2 linked regions of the Saccharomyces cerevisiae S288C genome follow. The gene in region 2 interacts genetically with the main gene of each other region. Each region holds a gene or a part of one and is shown on either strand. Other genes may lie near its edges. The genes, in order: KIN2 and RFS1.

Evidence for each region.
Region 1: mutations in RFS1 (region 2) and KIN2 together harm fitness more than expected from each alone (negative genetic interaction), as found in Saccharomyces cerevisiae (3 studies listed by BioGRID).

What each region holds. Positions count from the first base shown.
Region 1 is NC_001144.5:324,794-341,466, reverse strand, and holds KIN2 (serine/threonine protein kinase KIN2), read right to left. Parts: upstream 8,878-16,673; coding exon 5,434-8,877; downstream 1-5,433. Other genes in the region: MIM2 (Mim2p), read right to left, coding at 1-142; lysophosphatidic acid acyltransferase ICT1, read left to right, coding at 539-1,723; CHA4 (Cha4p), read left to right, coding at 1,994-3,940; SCF ubiquitin ligase complex subunit HRT3, read left to right, coding at 4,202-5,236; IOC2 (Ioc2p), read left to right, coding at 9,352-11,790; GIS3 (Gis3p), read left to right, coding at 12,229-13,737; NYV1 (Nyv1p), read left to right, coding at 14,052-14,067, 14,209-14,954; SUL2 (sulfate permease), read right to left, coding at 15,242-16,673.
Region 2 is NC_001134.8:334,595-350,564, reverse strand, and holds RFS1 (flavodoxin-like fold family protein), read left to right. Parts: upstream 1-11,212; coding exon 11,213-11,845; downstream 11,846-15,970. Other genes in the region: MRX18 (17-beta-hydroxysteroid dehydrogenase-like protein), read right to left, coding at 1,181-2,686; U4/U6-U5 snRNP complex subunit PRP6, read left to right, coding at 3,264-5,963; YRO2 (Yro2p), read right to left, coding at 6,430-7,464; YBR053C (regucalcin), read left to right, coding at 9,814-10,890; protein phosphatase regulator REG2, read left to right, coding at 12,366-13,382; DNA-binding protein REB1, read left to right, coding at 13,747-15,970.

The sequences.
Region 1 (16,673 bases), on a different chromosome or scaffold from region 2:
CCCATTGACGCTGTGCATCTGCGAGCTCGTTGCTGAGTGACGTGTCCTCGTCGCTGAGGTAACCATCTTCTTCCAGGCCCTCCACGCTGTTGATTGTGTCGATGCCCTGCAGGATCACAGAGGTATCCTCGCTATCTGCCATGTTCTAGTTATTGTTGCTCGTGCAGTGATGTGCTGTGGTGCTGGGGAGTGGTTTGCTCTGCCGATCTTGCTTGTAACGGCCGGCCGTTAAATGGGCCTTCGGGGTCCAAACGAGGCGCGGTTTCGTGAATCTTGCTTGGCTGTTTTTGGCTTGTTAATCCCAATTTGCGATAGTTTACGTTTCCACGGGGCACTGCTCAACGGGTTTAGTTCCGTGGAGCAGATGTGTTGCAGATACTAGTTGATATTTATGTTGATGTTGATCATTCTTGTGGCACAAAAGTATAAATAAAGCAGCGTGCTCTTTTTTGTACGTGGAGTAGTAGAAGTATATTCGCAGGTCTTTCTCTCATTGTTCAGGACATATACATACGTAAGCGTAGTTTTCTTCAGTAGAATGTGGACAAACACTTTCAAATGGTGCAGCAAAACTGAGAAGGAGACCACTACTGCAGACGCCAAGGTGTGTGCTAGCGTGCAGGGCCTGAAGGCCCTGCAGCAGCAAATTATGGATAGCACCACTGTGCGTGGGTCCGTTAATAACACGATGACTCCAGGCGGGATTAACCAGTGGCATTTCCACAATAAGCGTGCGAACAAAGTGTGCACGCCTACAGTACTAATCCATGGATACGCTGCCTCGTCGATGGCGTTCTACAGGACGTTTGAGAACCTGTCAGACAACATTAAAGATCTATATGCCATCGACTTGCCAGCCAATGGTGCCTCAGAGGCGCCAGCATTGCAAGTGAACAAAACCAAGAAGATCAAGTCTCTCAGGTTTAAGCATATAGAAGATGACGTAGTAATCCCTGTGATAGAGAAGCGCCCCCCAGCAGAGGACATCAAGTCACACCTGGAGCAGTACGAAAGCTACTTCGTAGACAGGATAGAGCAATGGCGGAAGGATAACAAGCTTCGCAAAATAAACGTGGTGGGCCATTCATTCGGAGGATATATTTCATTCAAATACGCCCTCAAGTACCCTGATTCCATTGAGAAACTGTGTCTCATATCTCCTCTTGGTGTGGAAAACAGTATACATGCTATCACCCACAAATGGGAGCCCAACACCACCTATCCACTTACGTTTACCGACCCATCGTCCCGATATTATACAAGAAAGCTGAACGTACCGCGGTTTATCTTTGAAAACCAGCTAAACGTTTTGAAGTGGATGGGACCCATAGGCTCCAAATTGTGCTCGAACTACATCTCCACCGCATACGTAAAAGTTCCGGATCAGATATATAAGGACTATCTTTTGCACTCATTTGTCGGGAAGAACCAGACGGTGCAACCACAGACAATCAAGGTGTTCACCCATTTGTTTGAAAGGAATCTGATCGCTAGAGATCCGATAATAAACAACGTTCGTTTTTTGAACCCAGCAACGCCTGTCATGTTCATGTATGGCGAGCACGATTGGATGGATAAATATGCGGGCTACTTGACTACTGAATCAATGCTAAAAAACAAGGCAAAGGCTAGCTACGTTGAAGTCCCTGATGCTGGCCATAATCTTTTCCTGGACAACCCGCAGCACTTTGCCTCTTCTTTAGTCTCGTTCCTGTCAAAGTAATGCCTATATAGAGTAGAGAAGAAAAATACAATATGGAAAACCACGCATATATATATATATATATATAAATACATACATATACATAATACATCACTTTACTTAACCGTATACAAGATAGAGCAACATATACATCAAGAGTGTAAACCTCTCATATGTGAGCGGATGTTCCGATCCATCCCGAACGAAACAAAGCAAAATCAACAAGTTGACATCGCCGTAAGTTTTCAAAAATAGCCCTTTTAAAACTCGAAGCTCTACACAATCGCAGCAATGATGTTGGAGCCTTCACCTCCACCTTTAACAACAACGGTAACACCCTCCCTTCCGTCCAGTTTAAAGAAATCTGTGACAGATAATGACCAGAATAATAACAACGTGCCCAGGAAGAGAAAACTAGCATGCCAGAATTGCCGTAGAAGAAGAAGGAAATGTAACATGGAAAAGCCTTGTTCAAACTGTATCAAGTTTCGTACCGAATGTGTATTCACTCAACAAGACTTAAGGAACAAAAGATATTCTACGACTTACGTAGAAGCTTTACAGAGCCAGATTCGGTCTTTGAAAGAACAGTTGCAAATATTAAGTTCCTCGTCTTCCACAATTGCTAGCAATGCTCTCTCCTCGTTAAAAAACAACAGTGATCATGGTGATGCTCCTAATGAAAAAATCTTAAAGTATGGCGAAACAGCACAATCAGCACTACCATCATCTGAAAGCAACGATGAGAATGAGTCTGATGCGTTCACCAAGAAAATGCCTTCCGAGAGCCCTCCACCAGTTGGCACAAATAGTATATATCCATCAAATTCCTTGTCTATAATAAAAAAGAAGACGGATGGAAGCACAAGATATCAGCAACAGCAGGTCAGCCTAAAAAATTTATCAAGAAGTCCCCTTATCTTAAGATCGTTGTCACTCTTTTTCAAATGGCTATACCCGGGACATTACCTTTTCATTCATAGAGAAACTTTCTTAAGTGCTTTCTTCGGTGATACTAACACTAAAAGTTACTATTGTTCCGAAGAATTGGTATTTGCAATCGCTGCATTGGGATCTTTGATTTCATACAAATCAGAAACTGAGCTTTTTCAACAATCTGAAGTGTTTTATCAAAGAGCCAAGACGATAGTACTCAAAAAAATTTTTCAACTGGAAGATTCTTCGTTAGCTGAATCGTCGTCCTCTTCGAAATTAGCAATCATCCAGACTCTATTGTGTTTGGCATTTTATGACATTGGAAGCGGAGAAAACCCCATGGCTTGGTATCTTTCTGGGCTGGCATTTAGGATTGCCCACGAAATCGGCCTACATTTGAATCCAGAAGCATGGAGTAATGTTTATGAAGACGAGCTGTCAATAATGGATTTTGAAGTGAGAAGTAGAATTTATTGGGGCTGCTACATTGCTGATCATTTAATAGCGATCCTCTTTGGAAGATCAACTTCCTTGCGTTTGTCCAATTCCACTGTTCCAGAAACAGACGAGCTACCTGAAATTGAGACTGGTATAGAGGAGTACATATATGACCCAAAAGTAATATTGTCCACTGCAAACCCCTTGAAGAAACTGATTGTGTTATCGAGAATAACGGAGATTTTTGCATCCAAGATTTTCAGCCCAAACGAAACTCTACTTCAAAGGAGTGAATACTTGGCCAAATTTAATCTGGAGGTATACAATTGGAGAAGGGATTTGCCCCCTGAACTACAATGGACCAAGAGGTCATTGATGGAAATGACAGATTTTAACCCAACCATAGCTTACGTATGGTTTCATTACTATATCGTGCTAATTTCCTATAATAAACCTTTCATATACGAAATCAAACAAAGCCGGGAATTGGTTGAAGGTTATGTTGATGAACTGTATTATCTTTTAAAAGTTTGGAAAAATAAATTTAAGACGTTTGAGAAGGCCACAATTTACATGATTTATTCTGCGATTTTAGCCATCCAATGCATGAAGTCCAACTTGATTAAAAAGGATAGAAAACAAGACTTCTTAAATTTTTTAAGTGCGCCTACCCTGAATTACGAACTTGCTAGAAAATTCATAGAAAACTCTGAAGATGCTTTGCATAATTCAGAAACTATGGATTTATTAGGGACTCTATCTCACGGTAACGATTTTGCCTTAGAGTACAATTTTGACTTTACTTTATTGAATGAGATTGATATGCTGATTGGTGGAAACACCAATGATGGTTTGTCGAAGTAATCTTGAGTGAAGAGGATATGTTTACTTGAACAAATATTCTTTATGTAATGTGTTTGTAGCCTTTTTATTTGGGAAGGAATATACCGCTATCCTTTCCCACCTCCGAACTTATCGATTCGGAATTTTAAAGAGCCTTCCAAATGACAAAAAAAAGGATTGTAGTTCCTAGATAGCGAAATCGACTGAGCAAGATAAAAGCAAACATTCCCCATCATCTTTGGCGACGACACATGTGTTCCATAAGCTAAACTCAAGGAGCAAATGATAGTAGATTATGAAAAGGACCCTAGGGCTAAAGAGGCTATTGCTATTTGGGAAAAAGGTGTACTGAAAGAGAAGGATGGGTCAATGTCAGATGCTATAAACTTCTATCGAAGTGCATTGAAAATCCATGATAATGTGGAATCACTGTACAGAAAAAAAATACTTGATGAGTGGATGCTGCACAAAAAACTATCGGGATTATCAATGACTACTGATGCTCCAGATGAACAAAATGAAACCGGTAAAGATGACTTATCTGTTGAAGAAAATGCTGAACTTCAACCCTGCTGGATTCTGGAAATCTTGCCTGACGACATTTTACTGAGAATTATTAAAAAAGTTATATTAATGTCTGGTGAATCTTGGGTGAATTTGTCGATGACTTGTTCCACCTTTAGCAAGCTTTGCTTCCACGATTCTGTGCCATTTAAAACTTTCGCGAAGTACATATATTCTAAGCAAATATACGACAAAATGGCAATGGATCTTAACGGAATCACCGATATAAATACCTTTGAAAAGGAAATATGGCGGGGTGATGATTATCGTATGTTAAGGGAAAGGCCATATATTAAATTCGAAGGTGTTTACATCAGTGTAGTAAATTATGTAAGATACGGTTCCAATGCAGAAAGTTCGTTATCTCTTTTAAAGCCAGTTCACATGATCACCTATTACAGGTATTTCAGATTTTATGAGAACGGCCAATGTTTGAGATTACTTTCTACAGATGAACCTAGCGCTGTCGTGAAGCACTTCTCCAAAGAGAACAAACCCAGGCATAGTCATATGTGTTATTGGAGCCTCGGATTTGATTATGATTTTGGTCATTTAAAGATAACAAGGTCAGATGAAAAGTATACGTTTATCGAAGAATTCCAAATCAAGAATCAAGGCAATAAGAGATATCAACGGTTGAAATGGCTAAGTTCAATTGTAGTGGATAAGGAAGGGAATGCATCTAACTGTTCGTTGAGAAATGAGAAATCTTTTTTCTTCTCCAGAGTGAAATCTTTCAAGGATCCTGGATGACATCGATGTTTTTTGCAGTTGTTTTACTTTATTTATTATTCTTATAGATTTATGTAGAACTATTATTTCATCATATGAAAGATTAAAGAAAGCAGATCTCAGCTTAAATAAATTATACTATAATATTAAAAAAAGATAAATATTAGATAATAAAAATTGAAAGACACACGTTGAAATATTTAGTAAGAACAACGTATCTATAGGTTTAATTCTTTTAAAATATACGATGCCAATTCTTTATATAGCCACGTATTACCAGAAACCTTTTTGAAATGTACACCTGCTAGGCCGACGATACGAACCTTTACAATGTGAATCTCAAATTTAATAGGAGGCCTTTCTTTTATACCAGAAGTATTGGTTTGCTCTGTTTGACCATTTACGTTATTTATATTTTGGGCTCTTGATGTTGTTAAAATATCATCCTGTTGTTGAACATAATCTAATGACATGGAAGATAGTTCCCCTGATGTACCATTACTTTGGTTTCCGTAGTTTGGAGACATTGGGATAGATGAATTTCTTTGATGTGTATTGGTCGCTAAAGGTGTTAGTGGTATATTATTCTGGCCCCTCTTATAAGAACCTTGGCGTTTTATCGAACTATTTCTTGATGCTGAGGACGCTGTACTATGGTAACTGGATGATAATTGACTGTCTAAACTATTTTGCAGATCCATCGCCTTTCCGGAATCCAAACCCACGCCAGTAGTGGTTATAACAGGGACAGCTGCAGTCTCAATAGATGGCCTTTGTTGGACACATATGAACCCGCCTTTCACTTCTTTGAAATCAATATTCATTCTTGTTAAAACAGATATGATATTGTGACGAACAATAGGCAATGGTTTAGAGGAGGTTGTTTGTACAGAGAAAAAACCCTTCAAAAACATTGACTTTGGATAATCAATTGATGGCATAGACCCGGGGGGTGCCTTTGAAGCTTCCTCCAAAATTTGCTTCTCAGTAAGCTCCTGAGAATACACCGAAGTCAGTCTATTGTTAGTATCGTTACTGTATGTGGTAGAATCTTCAGGAACGGTCGAAAAGTTACTGCTAACAGGATTGTATCTCTCCTTGTTTGCCTCTCCCAAAAAGCCGTTATCGTTTGTCATATCTGATGGCGGAAGGGCTGCTGGTATAGGCGGCCTAGTAAATTTCAAAGATTCACGACGAGCATGCCCCACCGATTTAGCCCTTGCACTAGGATGTAACTTACGACCCTTCGGAACGGAGAGATAATGGTCACTATTATCATTATTGATACCATCGACTACAGCGTTCACATTGTTGTTATCATTATCATTAATTTGTAATTTGTCGAGATTTTCCTGTAATAGTTTTTGCCGTTGTTTTTGAACAATTAGTTCGGCGTTCTGAGGTAAAGCTGGAAGATCACTGTTTTGCTTTTGTGATACTGACCTTATAGGAGGTGCTATGGTAGTGTTTTTAGCGGGTTTCTGTTTTACATCAACAGAATTTGGCACGTAAGATGGATATCTTCTAGCGCTAGGAATATAATCTGATATAGTACGACTATGGCTTTTCGGTACTTTGATGGAAATTTCATTTGATTTTGACATATATGTTGGAGGTTCTCTTTCTGGAAGAGGTTCCTGTTGCCGTGTGGGATGCTGAGATTGTCCACTTTGTGATATTCTTCTGAATATGCCGCCTATTGTATTCTTTTCCTGATGTTCACCTACTACGGGTGAAGCAGAACGTTGCTGATATTCGCCAGACACGGGGACTGGTGTTGATTTCAAAACACCATTTAATTCCGTATGAATGTCGGAACTCTTCCTAGATGTTGGAGAAGTATGCGCTTGTTCCGGTATTGTTAGTTTAGGAGGAACCATTACATGCAGTGGAGGTTTGTTTGAGGTATTAGTGTTGTTTGAGGTTCCCGATGTTCCAATTGCCGGCACTTGAAAAATACCAGGATTAGGTACTACTTCTTTCTGAGGGCTCCTCATTTTGGTCATAATATCCGGGGAGTTATTATTTAAGGCGACCTTAGTGCCAAGTGCTACTTGTTGCTGTTGTTGCCTTTGCTGAGCTTGCGCTTGCAGGGCCAATGCTTGCCTTCTTTGCAACTTCGCTAATTTCCGTGCAACCATTTCTGAAACCAAGTGATATATTGATAGTAATGGATGATATGCTAAAGTAGGATCTTCAAAATTACTATCTGGTTCATTATAACCACTTTGCGATGGATTACTTGTAATATGATTTTGTATTAAGGTTTGTTGTGCCGTTGAATTTAGGTAGTTATTATTTAAACTTGAACTCAACCCCTTGGCGTTGGATAATTTGTCCCAGTATTCTTGGGAAAGTTGGATGTATTCCTTTTCAGTTACTAATCGGATCAATGATCTTCTTGTATCTTCAATATCGTCAATAAATTCTAGGCGATACATTTCCTTCAGAACTTGGCTATCTATCATTTCAGGGGTTAATGGAACACGATTAGGAACATATGATGGAGCCTTAAAATCGTATCCTCTGTTCATCCATGGATGCTCAACGACATTCTTTAATGTTGCTCTTCTTAATGGGTCGACAACAATCATCCTGGTTAATAAAGATATAACTTCAATGGATAAGTGTGAAGGATAGTCTACTTTACCTTTTTTTATTTTTTCATGTAAAATGCTTGAGTTCTCATCATCAAATGGTACTTTACCGCAGACCAAGACATAAAGAACAATACCAAACGACCAAATATCTACCTCAGGTCCTGTGTATGGCTGCGCTTTTAATAGTTCTGGTGCTGCAAAGTACAAGGAACCACAAAACGTATGTAATTGTTTCCTATAATCAAAAATGTTGGAAAGACCAAAATCAATGATCTTAATTTCACCTGAACTAGATATCATTATATTCTCAATTTTCAGATCTCGATGAACAATATTATTGGCATGTAAGTATTGCAGCGCACTAGCTATACCTCTGGCAAATTTCCTCGCATGGTGTTCCTTTAATGAGCCATGCTGAATAATATAATCTAACAGCTGTCCACCGGAAACGTATTCAAAAAGCATATAAAAATGGTTTGACATAGTGCACATTTCAAATAAACGACAGATATGAGGATGGTAAAGGATTTGGCCCAAAGAGGCTTCCCTAACAGTCCTTTTATCCCTCGCAATTTCTTTTTCTAACCGCTTTTGTCTTTCTAATATCTCACTCTCATTCTTTGGGGAAGGTAAAGAGTGCTGTTTATGGAGATAAGCCTTGGAAGCCCTATTAACAATCTTTATTACACAAATTTCCTTTGTTTGACGATGCTTGACCAATTTAACTTTACCCATAGAGCCTGCGCCAACCGTTTCAAGGAACTCCCAATCTCCCAAAGATCTTCTATGAAATTGCCTTAATTCCACGGCGCCATTAGGCCTCGATGCATCATTTTGTCTCTGAGCTGCCTGTTCCTTGCCCTGTTTGATATCTGCAGGAGGCATCAGTGGTGCTTGTTGCTGGTCATTTCTTGGTCCAGATTGCTTGCCCATCATGCGAAGAGTGGCTGGTGCAGCAACTCGCGTGTCGTTGAAAGCTTCTGGCGTCGGCGATAAAGATCCGCCCTTACTGGTCCTGAAATTTGGATTCACCAAGTAATCTGCTGTATTCGGATTAGGCATAGTGAAATACTTAACAATTGAGCCGCGATATTAATGGCACAATAAAACTTTTAGAAATTTCTTTTGAAAAGCGTTTCTCGGTACCTAATGCTGTTCGCGCTCAGAGTTCCGCTGAATTTCGTGTAATGCAGTATATTTTGTAATAAAGTTCTCGTGGCCCGTCCTTGACTGTGAATTTGTGTCAACGGCGTGCTCTATTCCTTGCTTAAACGGTGGCAAAGCAGGACTTCTAGGTCCACTTGAGCTCTTCTTTTCCTTTTCCAACCTTTTTAAATTTTCGTTGCTAGACCAAGTTACCGCTATCACCGCACACGGAATGCGAGAGCGTCAAAAGTGACATAATTCTTCCTTTCCAGCAACATTAACATTTATTTATTCAATAGTGACACGACTAAGAAACTAGATCAATTGCTCTATTTTACTCATACACACTGGCTAATCATATATAGATACAAAGCGGTGAATCAGCGATCGATGAGAACGAAGAGAACTAGGGGTACAAGAAATGTAGGAGCGAGCATGCCTGCCGGCGCTGCGAATGCGGATAGTGAAGACTGGAAAGAATATGTCTCCGAAGACATAATAGCCCAATTGAACAAGCACCAGCTGCCGTATTCTGAAATATTAGATGAGAAGATCGCGGACTTGGCCAATCACTGGCACTTCCAGTATGTGATGGCTTGGCTTTCCAATGTCTGCGAATCATATACTACAACGACATTTAATACTGACCAGTATGGCGGTAGCTCTACCAAATGCTTGTGGAAGAATATCAAATTCGATGAAGGTGTATTTGTAACTGACGTATTTTCGAAGATAGACGGGAAGGACTCGAACTATTACAATGATGAAGTCGACGTAGATGAAGGATCGCAAAATTTGTACGACAGAATTAGATTGCAATTATTGCATCAATTAGCGGGAAATAAAAGCGGGCAATTGAAAGATTGGAATGTTATAGTTAACCATCACTTGCAAAACTCGAGCGCGTATTCAGATTTGGTTACGGACTTACCTTTTTTGGAGCTTGAAATTGCACGCCAATTCGACATCATTTACAGTATCATAAAATTAATTGAAATGAAAAATATGATCTTCAAAAACTACTTAGCGAATAACTTGCATCTGTTTACGTTTAGTGAAGTTATACTGGATGATGATAATAGTGGAGGGGAGGAAATGAAGAGCTTGTTTGCCTTACCCAATGTTGGTGTACTCGTAAAGAAAACCATTCACAGAGTAAAAGAAGGCTCTTCCTCCCAAGTCTCTCAAACTCTGAATATCCCAATAAAACTACAGAACTGTACTATAAAAGAAAGCGACCCAGACATTCCTGATTCAGTGGAGCTTATTCATCTCGAGTACTCTCACGATATCGATGCATATCTTCAATCGATTACAATTGATTATGATGTGATTACAACTAATTGGGGGTCCATGCTAGAATACTGGTCAGAGAATAAAAGTTCGAAAGCCATAGATGAGTTCATAACTAACTTAATACCGGTGTATGCCGAACATAGACTATATTCGGCAAAACTTTTGGCCAACAGAGAAAAGGAGAGAGCAATTGCGGAGCTAATGACAAGGAGGAAAAGATCTTCGAGACTGGTAGCGAAAGAGGAAGAAAACAAGAAAAAAGACTTGGAAAGTGAGTGGTTTGAAAAACTAGATGAAAGAGAACAATTTATAAGGCACAGAAACAAGCTAGTGTCGAAGGAAATCAAAAAGATAAAAGATCTTCTTTGGAACCAATTGTGGCAATTGTACGATCAAGATTATAGAGATGAAAAATTGACCAGGCGTAACGAGCTCAAAGATAGAAGTGGTTCTGGTACACCGTTTTTTGAAACGTCTTTGGGCAGGGAGGAGGACAATCCCTTAAATGAAATCGATATCGGAGTTCTTGATCACGGCCCTAACTTTCAATCTAGTATAATCCCGGTGGAACCACCAATTCCTGGAACTGTTGGGCCACTACAGACGGGAGACGTCCCTGAATTGCCTAGTGACTTCTGCATAACAAAGGAAGAGCTAGATGAGCTTGCCAACTACGGGATCTTTACTCCGCAGCAAGAGCCCGACAACCAAGATTCTGTTTTCCAATGTCCGGGCGAACCAGAGCTGGCGCCCATGATTATCACCGAAGACACGGAGACTGACCTCTTCAATAACCGCCCATTGATATGCTGTGATCATTGTTACAGGTGGCAGCATTGGGAATGCCAACCTCCAAAAATTATAGAGCTTATATCTTCAACCACAAAATCCCCACAGCACACGCTGTCGCAACGTGATTTTGGCGTCATCATAATGGGAAATTCGCACGGCAATAGAAGGTCTTCTCGCAGACCCCAATCCACACTTGAACCCAGCACCAAGTCTTCAAGACCTACTGATAAACGCAAACCGCTGTCTGAATGCTCCACTTTTATCTGCGCTTGGTGCATCAGGGACTTGGAACTTGAGCTGCGCAACATTTTTGTGCCTGAATTGAAAATAATAAGGGCCAAACAAAGAAAACAACAGGAAGACCGTGAAAGAAGAAAAAAAATGAAGGAAGAAAAGAAAAGGCTCGAAGAGCTTGCAAAGAAAAGGGAACTAACCGAGTCTGTCTCACCTCCAGTGTTTAATAATGCATTTGCAAACATGTCAAGTAGCACAACGCCTAGTATCGCCGCTTACGAAAAAACAAATCCAGCCATCAATCCAGCACCTAATGTAAATGCCGCTCACCCCATAATTACATACTCGCAGCAAACTGGCAGCAAAACTGTACCACAAGCACCACAGGCACCACAAACATCACAAGCATCAATCCAACCACAGCAGCAACAGCAACAGCAACAGCAACAGCAACCGCTGCACCCTAAAGAACAGAACTTTCACTTCCAGTTCCCACCAACCAACTAGCCTCATATAGAAATACACAGCAAAAGTATATAGTAAAATATATATCAACTGGTTCTTCATGAAACTTTCTTTTCCAGCCGCACATCCGTAGGGCTTCTGTCGCTTCATGTCGGGTAATAATGATGCTTAGGGCTTAGCGCCAAAATAATTAGGGTGTATGAGGCGGCTCCTGACTAGGGTCAGACGGCATTTTTTCGTCTTTTTTTATCCGGTTTTTCGTCAGTGGCCATCCTTAATGCGCGGCAAAGGTGCTGAAGGCGCCTTATTGTGTTAAAAAAGCCAATGAAATAAAAGTGGGATGGTGAGAACGCCAAACGAGTGAAACAGAGAATGGAAACTCGCTTCTTCACAAGTATTTGATGGCTAGTTTTCTCAATTACTTGTTTCTTTGGATAGACACGAACATACAGAACACTTTCAACAAGACATAATTATAGAATGCTGCTGGACGTGAACACAAATCACACACTAATGCACGATGCTCATGTGCATGAACATTGCCTCATCAAAAGCATACGTGATGATGGCGCATTGCACTCATGGAGCGACTCATCAAAGGTATTTTATCCCAAGTCATTTTACGCTACCGCTACTAATAAGAAGAATAACAAGTTAGCCAGCGCCAGCATGAACAAGACCGCCACAAGTAATAGGACGGTGAGCGATGAGATTTATTTCCACTCCACTAAGCCGCAGTTCGATGGTCAAGGAAGCGCTGAACGTACTAGAACACTAACCAAGAGGAATAGCTTCAAGAGGACTAGAATACTGAAGGCTCGAGACGATTCCGAACTGCTGAACGAAAATCGCTCATCTTTGATGACCCCGTCCTTAAGCTCGGTCATGTCGCAAGTTAGGAAAACAAATTCCGCCAAGACGTTATCGGGCGAATGCCCCATACATGAGGGCCACTTAACACAGAGCATAAAGAGGAAGTTCTCCGAGGAAGCTCAAAGCGACTGTTCTTCATTGAGCTCCTCTAAACTTCATCCCTTGACAGATGATATTGCTGACGCTGTCGATTTGCAGACCCCCGCGATTGGCGATGAGGTACTGGCTGAGCCGGTCGTGCCCAAAATGAAAATAATAAACATAAATGATCTCGATTTGTTCGACGACTGGGAGGTTAAGGATTTAGTCGATATCTTTCCTCCCGTATACGAACGGCGTCCGCGATCGTCCTCTGCCCTTTCACTGGTTTCTGCGTCGTCCGATGCCAAACTTCGTCCGACCTCTGTGGACTTCCAAATCATCGACAAGAAAGGCGGCAAGACTTCAAGAAGGAAGAGTAGGAGCAAATCGACTACAGAAAACATGATTTACGAAAATGACCTGGTAGAATTAGAACAATGGCCATCTGCATCACCATCGCCCGAGACCGACGGTTCGATTGCATCTAGCGAGCTCTTGCCCAATAAAAGAATAAGACAAAAAAGTTTGAATACCAATTTCCTAAAGTTATACTCTATTGAAACATCATGTAAAAGGAAGAGTATTTTACCCGAAGTCGAAGTAGATGACCATCTGTTGAAGCAGCTAACGTATTCCGAAATTCGGTCTTTGGAAATCAAAAAGGAGCCAAATGTCTCTACGAACGATATTAAGCTTGCCCTAATTACTAGGAAAAAATTATGGTCTGACATGGTCCATGAAACAAGAAATGATCTTTTTGGCGATTCTACCCCCTGGAATTTGCACTTTGTTGCAACGACAAGCAATACGGAACCTTCGCAAGGCCGTGAATCCGCAAGCGAACATGCAACGGCGGATTTGAAAAGTTCTTTGGTCCGCGTACACTCAGACGTCAAGCCATGGTTCAACAATGGCGGCACAATGCTCAAACCATGCGGAAAACTAAATTTAGGCAAAGTCACCAATAAGACTTCCGCACCTACGAGAGAGATTCAATATGTCGTAAAGGGCTGGTGTGACAGCAGGTTTCTCTGATAGACCCCCCACCTTTTCATCGCCTTCACCCCACCCATTTGCATTATCTAAAAATAGTAAACTATATATTCTACCACCACATTCATTATATATAATATTTAAAACAACGCATTACCACCAAGCGCCCGGGTAATATTCGCCTCAAACGATCGAAGAAAGAAAAAATGAGGTCACAATAATGATGAAAAAAAGCCCCTCTATGAATTTTCTAGCACTTGACTAAGTTGGAGCAACAGCTATTAAATTTGAAGAACAGAGTGAAAAGCGACAATTTATTAAGCTGTTAGAGCATTGGACTTTTATATTTTTACCAAATGAAACGCTTTAATGGTATGTATAAATATTTCTACACAATTAACAAATGTTTAAAAAAGGGATTATGCGAATGCTCATCCCCCCATGCCATAATTTTACTATGTTACATTCAGTAGACTAACGTTCCATTTTGCTTGATTTTGCATATGGTCTTAGTAAGTTATGTGGAAGTTATAAAAAATGGTGAAACAATATCTAGTTGTTTCCAGCCGTTCCAGAAAAACGAAAACTATGGTACAATAACTTCAGCAAACGAGCAGATAACGCCGGTCATTTTCCATAATTTGATCATGGATATGGTATTACCCAAAGTAGTTCCGATCAAGGGGAACAAAGTTACCAAGATGTCAATGAATCTCATCGACGGATTCGATTGTTTCTACTCCACGGATGACCATGACCCCAAAACTGTGTACGTTTGCTTCACATTAGTAGATATGCCCAAGATTTTGCCCATCAGGATACTAAGTGGGCTGCAGGAATACGAGTCCAACGCTACAAACGAACTTTTAAGTTCGCATGTAGGTCAAATACTAGACTCTTTCCATGAAGAGCTGGTCGAATACCGTAACCAAACTTTAAATAGTTCTGGAAATGGCCAATCTAGTAATGGGAATGGTCAGAACACTATAAGTGACATCGGGGATGCCACCGAAGACCAAATAAAGGACGTCATCCAGATAATGAACGATAACATCGACAAGTTCTTGGAGAGACAAGAAAGAGTTTCTTTATTGGTGGATAAAACTTCCCAACTAAATAGCAGCAGTAATAAATTTAGGCGCAAAGCGGTCAATATAAAAGAAATAATGTGGTGGCAGAAGGTCAAAAATATTACGTTATTAACTTTCACTATTATACTATTTGTAAGTGCTGCTTTCATGTTTTTCTATCTGTGGTAAGTAAATAAAAAAAAAGGGGAGCTGTCCCACGACAATAACATTAATAACGGTTGTATTTCTTTTGTTCCTGAGAGGAAGAGAAAAATAAAATAAAAATAAGGTAAATATTTATAGGTATGTATATGCTCACGATGGCACCATCCTACCTATTATTTCTTATTATATAAACAGTGTCTATCTCATTATGATATTAAATGTATACTTTTAAGGGGGAAAACTTTTTGGTTTAGGAATATAGAAAAAAAGAGATGATATAAATGTTTGCATGTCCATTGTAAATGCATTGGCTAGATATCCCATTTAGCAAAATCTGGGATATCGATATGGAAGAAAGGTAGATTTGTTCCTGAAGCGGTATAAACGCTATATTTTTCAGGATTTTCTTCGCCTTGAGGTACTCTGGCGACGTGATAACTTGTATGACCGGCAACAATGGATTCATCACTGTATTCTTCGTTCAGAGTACCAAATCCTCTGCTAATTAAACCTCTCTTCACCCATGGTGAAATGATACCCACAAAGTGGAATTCAACTTGCCTATCTGCATATTGATTTATGGCCTTTCTCAAATCAACCAATGATTGAAGAGCCGTAGCGTCTGTCTGTGCCACTTGTGAGAAGTCTAAGCATAGTATTTTCAGCAATGGCCTGTCATCTCTTTCAACATCGACTGAGGTGCTGGGCGCGTTTTCCATGGATTCAGGGTCGTTCTCCCTTTTCTTCCAGAATTTCAAATTCTTTAAGAAAGCAGGTGCTTCCCATGGACCAGGATCATTCCATGGACGGTCAGATTTTTTTCTGTGGCGAATTAATTGACCACGTCTGGTAACTTTTTTAACTTCTTCGGTTATGATGTTGTAGTGTCTGGAACAGTTGAGATAGGTGTAGCTCTCTGATAGCCTATAAACAAGAACACCGTCTGGTGGGGGGAGAATCTGAACGTCCGGGTTCAATTCTCTTGTGTATTTATGATCAAACGGTATCCATTTAGTATGGTATTTTATCCTTGGCTGGCTAATCGAAGAAGATGGAGAATCAAAGCCCTTTGTTTGAACGTTTGTTTCTATTTTCTTGGAGGAATTTGTGACGTATTTGGTGGAACTTTCCTTGTCATCCTCACCACCATCTTCTAAAGTGGAAATACCATTGTTATTTTCAGACACGTAGCTAACCACATCGGAGTCCGGTCTGACGTAAGCATCAGTAACTTCAGCGACTTCCACACGACCCAAGAATTTTCCCGCTGGGAAAGCCACTTTTAAAATGAGCATTGCACATGACCAGCACATGGCAAAATAAATACCATCTTCAATAGAGGCAAATACCGTTATTAGGACGGTGACAATGAAACAGATGAAGTCCAATGGATTCATCTTCCAGAAATTCCAGGTAGTTTGATAAGAGGCCAAAAGATCAGATACAGCGTGAATGATAACTGCAGATAAGGTAGCCTTTGGAATGTAAAAGAATGCGCCGGTCAAACAATATAATGCTAAAAGAACACATGAACCCGAAAACAAACCAGATAACGGCGTACGGACATTACATTTAGCCTTCAAAGCAGACCTTGAAAAGGAACCAGTCGCTGGGTAAGCATTGAAGAAAGTACCTAAAAGGTTCGAGACACCAATAGCAATCAATTCTTGGTCGGGGACGACTTTATAGTCGTTGATTCTACCAAAAGACTTCGAAATAGCGATATGCTCCAACAATAACACA
Region 2 (15,970 bases):
CCGTTGACTTTTTTTCAATCTTTATGTCATTCTCTTACACCTTATATGATAATATACTAGTAATATGAAAACTCGTCAATATTAGTATTTGAATTTCATTAGAACACAAAAGTGTATATCACCTTGATATTCCACTCACGAGCTACAGGTAGTAGATTGTTTAATGACTTGCTCAACAAAATAGCGTGAATTATCACTAAGTAAACAACGGCTCTTCTCACACCCTGAAAAACAAGTACTCGAGAGTCTGTGTTACTTGCCTCGCAATTGTTACCTAAGATGGACAATTACCGATGGATGACTTCATCATCTGTCACAGCCATCGCTTTTTGCGCTGCCATATAATACATGTTAACCGTACGCAACTCGGTGAACATAACCGTGGGGTTACTTTTGTTTGAGTAGTTAGATGTAGTGTCTTTCTTGATGGTATAAGCTACTATAATATTAGGAACGGCCGATACCTGGCGACAAAAGTTCAAAATACCCAACGGGCAGCTGGGCTTATGGAACAACGCAAAAACAATTTTCGGTCATTATATCAAAGTTTATGGCTATGAAACAACAATATGTGTGGCTGCATGTTTAGCCAATGACGCCTTTTTTATAACCCTGCCAAATCCCAACTTCAAGGCAGCTTAATACCTCCAATACATCTTTTGGGAGGTTGATTCAAACATTCACAGCAGAGTAGCTTATACGCTTATCAACTCATCTTTCCTCTGATTAAAAAGAGACTCTGGCTTGCTTTGTAATATTATTTATTTTGGCTCAAAGTTTTTACTTAATTTCCTCCATTATTGCTCTATTCGGAAATTTTTAATAACTCTCAAATGCTTAAAGATCGCCCATGTTACTTGAGTTTTTAATTTAAATAGTTCACCTTACTTGAATGTTCTATTGGGTAAAATAGAATGATTTGAAGATGGCAAATACTAAAAATATCATAGCGCTTCATCTTGATTACCATTATTCCGGTGCTTTTATGATATTGCGTATCAACTTCATTTAAAGAAAAACCTCATTTCAGCTGAAAGTAAAAGTATTGAGTACTCTACTGGCAGTAGCTGGATAATTGAAAACTTACGAAGTGCCGCCACAACAGCTTTTTTTTTATTTTCGACAGTAAACCAAAAGAATAGAAACGCCTATAGTTAGTATATATGTGTTTGTATATTTCTTAATACTTATTAAACTCATCTAACCCACGTTGGTAGCCTTGATCCCATTCCCACATAAATTCGCTATCTTTTTTGGCAGAAACGTATTCAGCTCTTCTTTGCGACTTCCATGAATGCCATCTACCAATTAATGAATTGTCAAATTTCCTAAAGGCAATTATATCATCAACAGCTGTCTTTATGCCATCCTCAAACCTCCAGTGTTCAAAATTTTTACCTTTACCGTTCCAATAAGCCTCGTGTTCATGGATTATTGAATCTATTTTCTTCTTGTCGACTTGTAAGTCATCACCGTGAGGACGTTTTGGTAAATTTCCTTTCTGCATCATGGGAGCTAAGCCCCATTCACCTCCATCACCGTATTCAAACTGCAAAGTCCAAAAAAACCAACCCCAACTAGCTACATGAGAAAATACATCTGCTTGGGTTTGTACGTATTTTTGAACAATAGCGTCTCTGTCGCCAGAAGTTTTATTCCAAGTTTGTCCATCAAGAACACCAGAAAATTCACCAACAGTATAATCGGCATCTTCATGAGGAAAATTCACAGTATTTGGCAAATCCTTGATAATGGAATTGGCATCCTTCGACTTATCAGAATCAGAAAAACAGCGGTAGACATGAGAATCAATGACCACTATTTCACTAAAATGTTTTTCTTTAACCCAGTCTGCCCATTGTTGGGGCCACCAACCATCGGATATTATGACAGGTAAACCTGGTTGAAGTTTTTCAACGGTATTAATGGCTTCTGAATAATAGAATTTTTGGCCCTTTGGGTTATTATCAAAACATGCCTCATTAACCACTTGAATACCAATGATGTTTTCGTTGCCCAGAGTCATTGTGTTAATAATTGCAGGTAAAATATCTTTGTAGACTTTGGTCATGTACTTTTCCTTGTGGAAAAACGCAGCTTCACCACTCTTCGAGCCACTGTGTGAGTCGCAATTAGCGCCTCCTGGTAGACCATGCAAATCTATCAATACACCAATGCTCATTTTCTTGGCATTATTGATTAATTCGCCAAGTTTTTCCCAAGGTTTGGCTAACTCATAAACTTTTCTCAATGGGGCAAATGGAAGCGAATCTAAATGCTTCCCATCTTCGACATGCCAATATCCAATTGGAATACGTAACGCTGTAATATGGGCATCTTTAGATAGCCATTCCCAGTCAATTCGATCAATGTACTTTTTATAGTGATCGCTTAACATTTTCGCAACGTCTTCAGAAGAATGCTTCTTCAATTGTTGGGAAATAGCATCAAATTCGCTATCATATTCTTTCCCATCGATTGTACAAATGGTTTCTTTAGAAAAAATCCATGGTTCGAGCACAAATAACGCACCCAAGTTTACACCATAATTGTAACGGTACTTGTAGATAGTTGATCTATCAAGGTCCTTTGCAGGGGGTAGTTTCGGTAGTGTTGTAGATAAATTTTGACCTCCCTTTTCAGAAACTTTGAAATGCTCAAATTTGTTTCTAAGTGAGCCAATCATTCTGTGCAGTTCAAAAGTTTTAATAAATTTTATAGATGGATAGAGAGTCTTTTTTAAAGCAACTCTTCCCAACAGAGTTCGAATTGAAGAAAAGAAAGTTATGTCTTAGTTCATCCATCCCCCCTAATTCCCTTCTTTTAAGCATTTTTTAAGCCATGATGGCAGAGAAAATGTATATTAAAAAAATATTACTGAAGGATGCGAGGTTCGAACTCGCGCGGACAACCGTCCAACAGATCTTAAGTCTGCCGCCTTAGACCACTCGGCCAACCCTCCGTATAAATGAATAGTTATTTTCAATAACCACACTTATATTAATTGTATTAATTGCAGCACTCTTTCTTTAGTAGCTCCTCCGGAGACCTTTATGAAATGATGGCGTTTCTTCTTTTAATAAATAATGTAACGAAAGTATTTTTAAAAGTCTTCTTTACCGTTGATAGAACCTTGGGCTAATTTAACCAGTACATTTATAGTGTGTCAGATTGTTCTATTAAGCAAAAAAAAACGAAAAATTTCAGAAAATATACGGGTGAGTTGACATAAAGAGTTTAACAGCAAGAAAACGTCACATTTTATGGAGAGGCCATCTTTTTTGGATCAAGAACCACCTGCAGGTTACGTACCAGGTATTGGTCGTGGAGCCACTGGATTTTCAACAAAAGAAAAGCAAGTGGTTAGTAATGATGACAAAGGAAGAAGAATACCGAAAAGGTACCGTGAAAATTTGAACAACCATCTTCAAAGCCAACCGAAAGATGATGAAGATGATGAAGCTGCAAATGTATTCAAAACGCTTGAATTGAAATTAGCACAAAAGAAAAAGAAAAGAGCTAATGAAAAGGATGATGACAATTCAGTTGATTCTTCAAACGTGAAACGGCAATTTGCCGATTTGAAAGAATCATTAGCTGCTGTAACGGAGAGTGAGTGGATGGATATTCCGGATGCCACAGATTTTACAAGAAGAAACAAGAGAAATAGAATTCAAGAGCAATTAAACAGAAAAACTTATGCTGCACCGGATTCGCTAATACCTGGGAATGTTGATTTAAATAAATTAACGGAAGAACGAGAAAAATTATTGCAATCTCAAATAGATGAGAATCTTGCACAATTAACGAAGAATGCAAGTAACCCTATACAGGTTAATAAACCGAACGCTGCTACCGATGCCCTAAGTTACTTAAAGGACTTAGAAAACGATAGAGTAAATTCTCTCTCAGACGCAACGTTAGAAGATTTACAGAAAATGCGCACAATTTTAAAGTCATACAGAAAGGCCGATCCAACAAATCCACAGGGTTGGATAGCTTCTGCCAGATTAGAAGAAAAGGCAAGAAAATTTTCAGTAGCAAAAAAAATAATAGAAAATGGTTGCCAAGAGTGCCCTCGAAGCTCCGATATTTGGCTAGAAAACATTAGACTACACGAATCTGATGTTCACTACTGTAAAACATTAGTGGCAACGGCAATAAATTTTAATCCAACGTCTCCGCTTCTTTGGTTCAAAGCTATTGATTTGGAAAGCACAACGGTTAACAAATATAGAGTAGTGAGAAAAGCACTGCAAGAGATTCCTCGAGATGAGGGCCTATGGAAGCTAGCTGTCAGTTTTGAAGCTGACAAAGCGCAAGTTATAAAAATGTTAGAGAAAGCCACACAATTTATTCCACAAAGTATGGATCTCTTGACTGCATATACTAATTTGCAAAGCTATCATAATGCTAAAATGACTTTGAATTCCTTCAGAAAAATCCTTCCGCAAGAACCGGAAATTTGGATTATCTCTACACTCTTGGAAGAACGAAATAACCCAGATATACCTGTAGATAAACTAGTTAGTTTGCTCAAGGAGGGTTTATTGGAACTCTCTAAAAATGGGTACAAAGCGACCTTGTCAGCATGGTTGAAACGTGCAGAGGCTCTAAATGATGCGCCCAATTCAAATTTAACCTGTCAAGCCATCGTTTACGCTATATTAGAATGGTTAAGAGAAAGTGGCGAGTATGAGTCTGAGTTGAATAATGTTGATCAGATATTAGAAAAAATGCCACACTCAAAGGTACAAATTGCTGTCTTAAAAAAGCTTATTCAGTGGGATCCTTGTGATACAGTTCTTTGGTCTAGACTGAAAATGGCCACTGAAAGCTACCATAAAATTGAAGAGTTATTAGCATTTTTCCAGGAGCTGCTATTTCAGACCAAGAATAGTGATGATATACGAGCAAATATGAGGGAGAAAAGCCCTGGCTTGTTAATGATGTATGTAAGCGAATATTGGAAGGCCCAAAAAGGGGATACTAGGCAAACACTAGTTTTGATTGACCAGATTATAGATTTCGCCCCGCATAATTTGGATTTACGCTTTTTCAAGATAAAGTTATTAGGTCGTTCACTACAACTTGATGAATTACGAGATTTTTTTCAGCAAACTTTCTCCTCTTTAGAGGATTTTAAGATCAGTGGCACGGAAAGATTATATTATAAATACGTAAACTTTCTGCGGTACCAAGATCTGAATGAAGAGGCTATAAAATTCTTGAATGAGAGATGTTTGAAATCATTTCCCATCTGCCACAAATTTTTTTTACAGCTGGGTCAAATTTATCATTCCATGGGCAATATTGAAATGAGTAGAGAAACCTATTTGTCTGGTACAAGGTTAGTGCCCAATTGCCCTTTATTATGGGTTTCCCTATCAAAGATTGACGAGATTGATCTAAAAAATCCAGTAAGGGCAAGATCAATTTTAGATAGAGGATTGTTAAAAAATCCTGACGATGTATTATTTTACATTGCTAAAATCCAAATGGAAATAAGACTTGGTAACTTAGATCAGGCGGAGTTACTCGTCACACAGGCATTGCAAAAGTTTCCAAGCAATGCTTTACTTTGGGTGGAGCAAATCAAGCTGTTTAAGCATGGAAACAAAAGTTCGTTAAAAAAAACAATTTTTCAAGATGCTTTAAGAAGGACACAAAACGATCATCGCGTTCTTTTGGAGATTGGAGTATCCTTTTATGCAGAAGCGCAATATGAAACATCATTAAAATGGTTAGAAAGAGCTCTGAAAAAGTGCTCGCGTTACGGAGATACATGGGTTTGGCTATTTAGGACATATGCAAGGTTAGGCAAGGATACTGTTGATCTCTACAATATGTTCGATCAATGTGAGCCTACTTACGGACCCGAATGGATAGCCGCCTCCAAGAACGTAAAAATGCAATACTGCACACCTAGAGAGATTTTATTGCGCTTGATGAATGACAAATAAAGTAATTCTATCTTGCGTTGTTTTCTACTTAGCCTGCGCGTATATTTATATGTATGTATGTATGTATACACATAATTGATAGAAGCGATGCTCAAAAAAAAAGTTAAAGAAAAGAATTAGATTTAATTAAGATTATAAGTAGTGCTTCATAGGTATTAAGACAACAAATGGTCTTTCTTACAAACGTAAAAATTTGAAGCAAAATGATGTATGTGTTTAAGGAATTTATTCGTATTTTTTTAATGAAAAAAAAATTTAAAAACAGTGCATATTTATTTGTGGCCTTTGGTCGCTACAATCCAATCCCATCTTCTTTCATGTATTAACACTTCATCGTTGCGCGTTATAATGCAGAAGATAAAAAAAGGATCGAAGTGTTTCTTTTCCAGCGAAGTTTCGGTCTCAAATAATAATACGTCAGGAAAAAGAAGGAAAAAAACATTGCTACATCAGCAGATCAAAGCATTTACTCAGAGTCGGTGGCTACATCCTCCTCCTCTTCTTGGGCTTTCTTGGCCTTCTTGGCCTTCTTAGCCTTCTTAGCCTTCTTCTTGTCCTTCTTGTGCTTCTTCTTTAGCTTTAACTTCTCCTTGATACTAGAGTCAGAATCAGATGACTTGAAAGAAGCTGGAGATGGCATCTTCTTTTCAGCAACTGGACCAACATGTTCAGCGGGTTCTTCGTCGAAGATTAAACCTAATCTTTCAATCCCCAAATAGTTAGCCAATGGCATGAAAAGAACTGGCAAGATAGATAGGATCAACAAATCAATAATACCATAGAAAATGGTAGCAGAATCTGGTTGCAAAACGTTACCACCATCTGTGATACCAAAACAGGTTGGGTAAGCAATCAGCCACAAAAACATGATGACACTCATGAAAGTAATGAAAACGTTAGAGACATCCTTACCTCTGGCCTTGACCAGGTTGAATGTAGTTGTCATCAAACTAATACAAACAACAATGGCAGCACCAATACCAATGGTGTAGTAACCCCATTTGTAAGTAGAGTGGACACAGGCAGCAATCAACCAGCAGACAGTAAATATTTCAGTCATACCAACATTGAAAGCAATTTGCCATAATGGAGTACCACCAAGTAGAGACATTTGAATAATTGGCCATGGGAAAGCCAAAAACCAGCCAACGTATCTAGCGTAAAAAATTTGTCTGTAACCTGGGTGCTCCTTTTGGGTAGAAGTTTGTACATGGTTGTACTTTGCTCTGACTGGGATCCAACCCAAGTTAGAAGCCATGGTGAAATAAGCAATTGACATGAACAAATTTGGAGCAATGGCCGTATAATATACGAATCTGTCCTTAACTGGTTTTCTAAACATTAGTGGGACTAAAATCACACCGAATAGTAGGTTAACACAAAAAACGGTGAAAAGCCAGTCTGAACCACGAGATGTAATGTGGAAATCAGCACCGGTTGGTGGATTAATTTTGATGGCTTCGTTACCACCTCTTTTCAATAGTTCAACATAATCAGACATTTTGATGCTTTTTTTAAAAAATAGTGTCACTTTAAGTTATCAGGAAAATTAGAAGATTTTTAAAATTAAATATTAATAATTAAAGAATTAGTGGTTAAACGTTATTAGATTGTTTGGAATTAAAAGAAAAAAATTCTAGATTGATTAAAAATAACCAGAATAAGCTATTAGTTTTGAGTAAAAAAGGGTTTTTAGAAAAAAAATTATGGTAAGTTCTTAGGACTTCTTGTCTATGTTAAAGTATCCAAAGATAAATAGATAGTTTTTTTCGGGTTGGAATATTACTGTTATTTGCTGACACAATCTTGACACTTGATTATATAATCGTAAATGAGAAAAGGTTAATAACAAATATCGAAGAAAACAAGAGAAGAAAAGGGCGGAAAACCATAACTAACACACTGTCTTACATGTAAACCGAATAAGTTCGGTTCTTTATATATCTTTTCGGTAAGCTTCCAGTAATTGAAAGGATCATGAATAAGCAACAACCCGATGAGGAATCATCCCGATCTAACATTGAAATTTTCTAGGGGTTTTACTAACTAATCTGATTGGAAAGCACAATTATCCAGTGAACTACTAAGATGACGAAATTATTCGTTTACACAGAAATAGTGAAAGGCATTTTTGCTTTTACAAGAGGCTATTTTTTTTTTTCTTCATGCTTCTTAAAGGGATTCATGCATTGGACCGGAGAAAAGTCCGCAGAACGACCACTCGAGGGTAAGAAAAAAACAGCTCAGATTTCCTATTTGAGGCAAATTATGCGGAAATTGAAGAATCGAAAATCACGGAAGTGGTACCAAAATCGGTAGGTTGTTTTCAATTTACCCTTTTTTTCCATTCCCTCATTTAGAACCCATAGCGAGGTCGAAATATCCCTTAGCCATTGGTGTGATGTCTATAGTTATTTCCCTCAGTCAACCCAAAGCAAGATTTACATTGTGTTAACGTATGCCGTGATATGAACAAACACACCGGCCTACATAGCTAAGTTAATCAAAGAAGGTGTAGATAAACTAGGTTACATAACTGCCTATTGGCAAGCTTTCTTGCTATCTTAACAGCAAAGCTCTTAAGTCGTGATCTTCTCTTCTGATTCTCTTCCGATGGCATATAGATTTGAAGACGACAAGGAAAGCTAAGCAACTTCCTAGTTTTCGTCTAAAAAAACCGAAGGTTTTTCCGGTGATTTTCGGAAACATGCAGAAGAGTCCTTAGAAATCTTAGGTAAATTCACTCGGCATGTCTGCTAAAGATCGGTCTAGGCCATGCGCGTAAAACGGGAAAGGGTTCGCTCAATGGCAGATGCTGCCATACGAGGACACAACCAAGATGAGGCCTCCCAAAGCGGTACTCGCGTTAAGAAAGAAGGGCTTTGGAGGCAACCGGGTAGGGTGTCTTCTTTGTAAAGTTTGTCTAATGTTGGAGAATGGTTGCCACCCGGGGAAGAAAACTGCTCAGGGCGGATAACAGGAAAATAACATGTTGCGTGCACTTGTTTCCGTTGAAGGGAGATGGAAAGACTACTTAAAACAAAGTAAAGAAAAACATCTCAAAAATATTGAGAGAAAATGTGGTCCAGGAACCAAAGATGGTATACTATTTTGCTTTAGTTTATTTTTGCCTTCTTGTTTAATTATTACTCAATTGGTATATGTAATTGAGTAAATATACAAATTGTAGCTTGTGTTTTTGTTTTTCACAAATGACATCGGTATGTATTTTTCAACATATCTTCGCCATTTCTGTGAGCTATTCCGAACACCGCTTGAAACGATTTGTATTTTGCACAATCGTCATCGAAGTTCAAAAGTCAATTGCTTTTCCTAATAGAGTTAAAAGTCGGTCTACGAAAGTAAAATGTATACTCAGTAAGAGCGGTCTTTGTCTACAGTTCTCCAAAGTGGTAGTTATATCGGGAATGGGTAAATGCATTACACAACAACAAGGAGTTCTAAAAGAGTAACTGTGAACGCCAAAGGAAAAGATATAAAAAAAGTATGTCCCTTTTTAATACCTTTTTCGTTAAGCCGCTACAGCTACCTCTTGACTAACTGAGAAGCTGAATGGATAAGGAACAAAATCGTACGTAAATTTTCTCATCCATTTTACTTGGTCAACAGATTCTATAATTGTAAAGCTGTAGCTTGCACTTGATTTTGTTCCTAGAAATGCATTCAAAATTATTTAATGGTCGCCAAGAACAGCTAGGTGAAAGTTTACCCGGTCGGGCTTTAAGGGGAAGCCAATGCTTATTCAAAGCATATGGACATATATGAAGATGTCCTGTAAGATTCTTAGATTAAGTTTATATGCATTGAGCAACTAGACACTTTTCGTAAAATGAGTAGTGTTGGCGATTTTGAAGAAATTATTTTGCATGATTTAAAACCTTATTATCACGTTCCCGGTGCCATACATAGTGAAGGAATAACCTTCGTTAAGGAAACCGGTACACTGTTGTGGGTTGATATTTTTAAAGGAGAGGTTCATAAAGTCGAAGACATAGAACAGCCTGAATCCAGTCATTCTTTTTTTTCCATTAGTAGAGCCAATTATGGCAAGAATGCGTCAATTGAGTACCCTCCCAATCCAGATGAATTAAAAGAATCCGTGGGCTGTATATTTCCAATACTTGATGGGGCTTCACAAAATGAAATCAAACAAGTATTATTTGGTAGTAAATTTGGCATAGGAAAATTGGATTTTAGCAAAAGTGAATGGGAATATGTCATTTTGTATTCCGAATGTCCTGAATTGAGTACAGACAGAGCATATAAGTTGAGATCTAATGATGGGAACGTTTCGCCAGATGGAAAATATATTTATGTGGGGCTAATGAGCGATTTTCCATTTGATTTGGAACCTATTGGGTGTTTGCTTCGTGTTGACCTATTAGCTCACAAGATAGAGCTTGTTTGGAATTGCTTGTTAATTCCTAACGCGATCCACTGGGATGAAAGTGATCAAAAGACGATGTACGTGACTGATTCTTTAAACTTCACTATTTGGAAATGTCCTGGTGGCGACTTGCTAAAACGTGACGAGTTAATTGACGTGAAGAACTCCAACAATCAATCTTTTGAGTCTCCTGAACCAGATGGAAGTGCAATTTGGTTTAGCAAAGACGGAAAACATTCTGGGTTTCTGTTTATCACTGTCTGGTCCACCAGTAAGGTTCAAATGTTCGATTTAACTAACGGAAAATTGCTGAAGGAGTTCATTTTGCCGGAGCAGACACCAAGAGTTTCATGTTGTTGTTTTGTTGGTAAAGATCTCTTCGTGACCACTGCCAATGCAGAAATCAACGATGCTGTAAGAACCAATACTGACAAGAATGGTGGCTGCATCTACAAAATTCCAAACGTGCTAGACGGAAATGTTCCTCTGGAATCTACAAAGCGACAACCTCTCCACTAGGTGTATATACATATGTTTATATATATGCAGCATACGTATCCAGCGCATGTAACTAGCGTCATATGACACCGCTTATGGGCAAATTGAAGCGAAGCTCCCAAACTTGTCCTTATACATCGAATAATAGCCGTTCCATTTTGGTTGCCTAGTTATAAGGAGGGAACACCTAAGGGGCGGACAATCAAAAATACATAAAAGAGCGGAAAAGAAAAGAAATAAAAAGAAACCACATTTTATATCACACTTTTCTCGAGAAACATCGAACATCAAGACCTCCAGCATACTACTCACTATTATAAGCACATACTACGCCACATAGATAATGCCGAAAGTCGCTATTTTGATTTATTCAGTGGACGATATAATTGCCACATTAGCAGAAAATGAAAAAAAAGGTATAGAGATAGCTGGTGGTGAGGCTGAGATTTTCCAAGTGCCAGACGTCAGCTATAAAACTGAATATGCGACAGAAGAGGGAAAAGAGGCAGCCAAAGTCGCCAAAACTAATGCAGATTTTTCCTATAAAATCCTAACAAGAGAAACGTTGGTTGAGTACGATTACTACTTATTCGGAATACCTACTAAGTTTGGAAACTTCCCCGCGGAGTGGAAAAGCTTTTGGGACTCGAATACTGGTGGGCTTTGGGCAAAGGGTTCTCTCCATGGCAAAATTGCCGGTTTGTTTGTTTCAGGCGCAATAAGCGGCAAGGGTGATACAGAAATGTGTATCATGAACGCAATGAGTACTCTGGTCCATCATGGTGTCATTTATGTCCCATTGGGGTATAAGAACGCATACAAGGAATTGACCGACGTTGAAGATGTGAACGGGTCTTGCGCCTGGGGCGCAGGATGTGTTTCTGGAATCGACGGTGGCAGACCTCCCAGTTTATCCGAGCTAAGAGTTCACCAACTTCAAGGGAAGGCCTTTTACGACCGTATCAAAGATTTGTAAAACCGTATATATCTTTACATAAGTACGATATGGTATAACTGTAACATTGAAGGACTGAAGGACTGAAGGACTGAAGGACTATAGTCAAGGGCCAATGGGGAAGGTCCCTTCCAGGCCATTTGCCCGATAGTTTGTCCTTCTCTTGCTTTTCCGACGGCCCGATTGCATGTGGCGGGGCAGCACTGGATAAAAAAACGTGGGGGGAGTGATTAAATTTATACGCTTATTGTGTCAACACGGAAACCTTATAGTTATCATTACTAACATCGCAACAAGCTGCTTTTTTACTCGTTTTTAGCCACACCATACCCCCTTTAATTAACTAATAATGCATAAAATAGTTATTGCTTCTTGAGTTGCAGCTTCTTCCTGGACGTACTGTTATATATGGCATGTCTTCGCATGTCCGTCAAATTTAGCGTTGTCTCGAAACTTAGGCTGTCGTTCTTGCTGTCTGTCTTCTGATAAAATAATATATTGGAATAAGAAAAAAAAAATAGGAACAAGAAAGTGTGTGAGAATGACTTTGAGTAATTGCGACTCTTTGGATAACTTATTCCAGGACCCTCCAGAGGAAGAAGAAAGTAGTAAATTCGTTGAGGCGGTCAGAACTTTGATGAATAGAAACGATATGGGATATCCTCCCGCCGCTGCAAATGGTACGTATTGCTTAAAAAAAATCAAGTCTTTGAATGCCAAACAGTGGAAAATAAACAAGAAAAGAATGTGCATGTTGCCAGCAGTAAAGAAGAAAAATTTCGACTTTCACGAGCAAAGAAGTTTAATCTTGAATTTAAATTTATGGAAATTCATCAAGTTTATCAATTGTAGTAGTAAAAACAATTACAATAAAAATAATAAGCATGTGAGAAGCTCGAACAACACTGTAAAAAATGAAAATGTTTTACCGTTACAAAAACACAAGAAAGTGGACAATGATCAAAGATTGGAGAACCTTTTTTGGAGAAGCTGGTTTAAGGCACGCAAAAGGAGAGATATAATGGGCAAGCCACGAGAGAGGCATATCAAATTTAACGATAACGTTGAACAGTGTATTATAACTGATGAGCATTTCATACAAAGGCTTCCTTCTACACGGTTGAATTCGACTGATGAACAGCGCCCTTGTTCAAAGTCTGAACTAGATCCCTGTATTGGCAACGCAGCAAGTAAGCGAAGTTTCTATGATTATAACAGCGTTTACGTCGCGAGTGACGCAATTATTACGACTGCCGCTGCCACTGCCATTATCAGTAGTAATAGTGGAGACTATCAGCGTGGGCACGATGTTCGCGATGTTCCAAGAAATGTTTTGTTACAGGCAGGAGAAACAGATTTCAGTAGTGTGCTTCGGGTTGACTCCGATCTCAAGTTATCCAACATAAGTCATCATTCCCCCGTAAAACCTTCGTCAACTTCAAGTCATTCGACCTTCATTTTCGAGTCGGAAACTGACACTGATACTGATACTGACGCTGAAACAGAAAATGACATTGACGCTTACATAGACACCAGTATACCCAACCTGCTCCTATAAATTTTACGTAAACTTTCAATACATTGAAATTGTGTCTCATTTTCTTCTAGAAGCTCCTCGGAAAAATTGATCACGTGATATATAGCAACAACTTTGTTACCCGTCTTTCAAATTGGGCCCATGCCGGGTGGCAAACCAAAGGCGGCCAAGGGACCTACCCTCACAAAGGACAACGACAAACAAATGGCAGCTTTCTTGACCACACAAGATAAAACAACAAAACTCAGGCTGTTATTACCCTGCTGTGGACCCAACCTAAAGTAAATAAATAAACATCATCACAAGCAAGGTTATCTACACACTATCGTTATTAGTTTGAACTCACGTGTTGCTGCTGAATTAGAATATTTATAGCTCAATCAATATGCCTTCAGGTCATAACGATAAAAACGCAAATCAAGAGTCTGTGGAAGAGGCTGTTTTGAAATATGTCGGTGTAGGTCTAGATCACCAGAACCATGACCCTCAATTGCATACGAAGGATCTGGAAAACAAACACTCGAAAAAGCAGAATATTGTGGAAAGTAGTAGTGATGTTGATGTTAATAACAATGATGACAGTAATAGAAACGAGGATAATAATGATGATTCTGAAAATATTAGCGCATTGAATGCGAACGAATCATCTTCGAATGTGGATCATGCCAACTCCAATGAACAACATAACGCAGTTATGGATTGGTATTTAAGGCAAACAGCGCATAATCAACAAGACGACGAAGATGACGAAAACAATAATAACACTGACAACGGCAATGACAGTAATAATCACTTTTCTCAATCTGACATAGTCGTGGATGACGACGACGACAAGAATAAGAAAGATGCGGGTGTTGGTGTGGACGATGATCATCAATCTATGGCGATGGCCGCCGTCGCTGCTGCTTACACTCTATCGAAAAATAACAATAATAATAACAGTATTGCGAACGATAGCAATTCGCGTAAAAGACAGCATGATAACGGAAATAATCATGAGAATTCACAGAAAAAGCGGAAAAACAATAATGATGACGATGACAGACAAATTGGAAACGTAGATCCGGAATTAACCACCTTGGGTGATGCAGATGACAACGATACTAATAATGATGTGATTGATCGTGATCAACTGGTCCATAAGGCCATTATCGACGCTGATTCGATTACCCAACATCCTGATTTCCAGCAATACTTGAATACTGCGGCTGATACTGACGATAACGAAAAATTAAAGCATATTAAAGATCATTTGATGCGTACACACGGTTTGAATCATCAGAACAAGAATCACAATGATGATACAGATGATTTATCAAATAGTACAAAGCAATACTCTGAACTGCAGAAAGACTCTATGCTGGATAGTTCCCTCAACAAATCTAGAAATTATATGGAAGTCTTGCCCAAAGTTATCTCTCAAGATACTCAACCACACCAACAAAAATCTCCCTCTCATGATAATGAAGCTGGCAGCGTGGACAATTCAGAAATATCTCAACTACTTCAATCAGCCGCCACAAAGGCATCATCTTTGGTATCTTTATCCTCATCCTCAGCAACGCCATCGACTTCAAGGTCTAACAATAGCAAAGCTTTTGATAAAGCCGAAGACGCCGCTTTAGAAAGATTTATTAACGAGTATGAGGCCATTGAACGTTTGACTAGACAACAAGTTTGTGAAAGGATATGGAGTTCCGACAGGCCAAAGGACAACTTTTGGAATAATATTTACAAAGTCTTACCCTATAGATCTAGCTCCTCTATCTACAAACACATGAGAAGAAAATATCACATTTTTGAACAACGTGGTAAATGGACCGCGGAGGAGGAACAAGAGCTAGCTAAATTATGTGCAGAAAAAGAAGGTCAATGGGCAGAAATAGGTAAAACTTTAGGCAGAATGCCAGAAGATTGTAGGGATCGTTGGAGAAACTACGTAAAATGTGGTACCAATAGAGCATCAAATAGATGGTCCGTTGAAGAAGAAGAGCTTCTGAAAAAGGTTATCAGCGATATGTTGGAAGAAGCCCAGCAACAACAGTCTCAATTGCATCCAAACTTATTGGAAGAAGAACAGCATTTACTGCAAGATGACCAGAATGATCATCGCAATAACGATGAAGACGATGATGATACAGCTTCTGCAGCAGCAGCTGCTGCTGCTGCTATTCAAGAACAACAACAACTTCTTCAACAAAAGCAGCAAGATGATGACGATGCTATTGCCGCTGCTGCCGCTGCTGCTTCTTCATCCCTGGGAGACAACAAAGACGAAGACAAACCCCACGATTCATTAGGTATACAGCTCGATGATAATTCCCAGAACTCAATGGTACCTGCTCCATCAGCAACAAGCACACATTCTAAAAGTTTGTCAAATACAATCAGACGTCACAATAATAAACTGAGGAAATCTTTGATGGGTAACGGTAAGTTAGATTTCAAAGACATCATTAACTGGACCATTGTCAGTGAGCGTATGGGCGGTACGAGATCACGTATTCAATGTCGTTATAAATGGAATAAATTGGTCAAAAGGGAAGCAATTGCCAAAATTCAGACTGTAAAAGATGATGATATGTTATGGATTTTTGAAAAATTAAGAG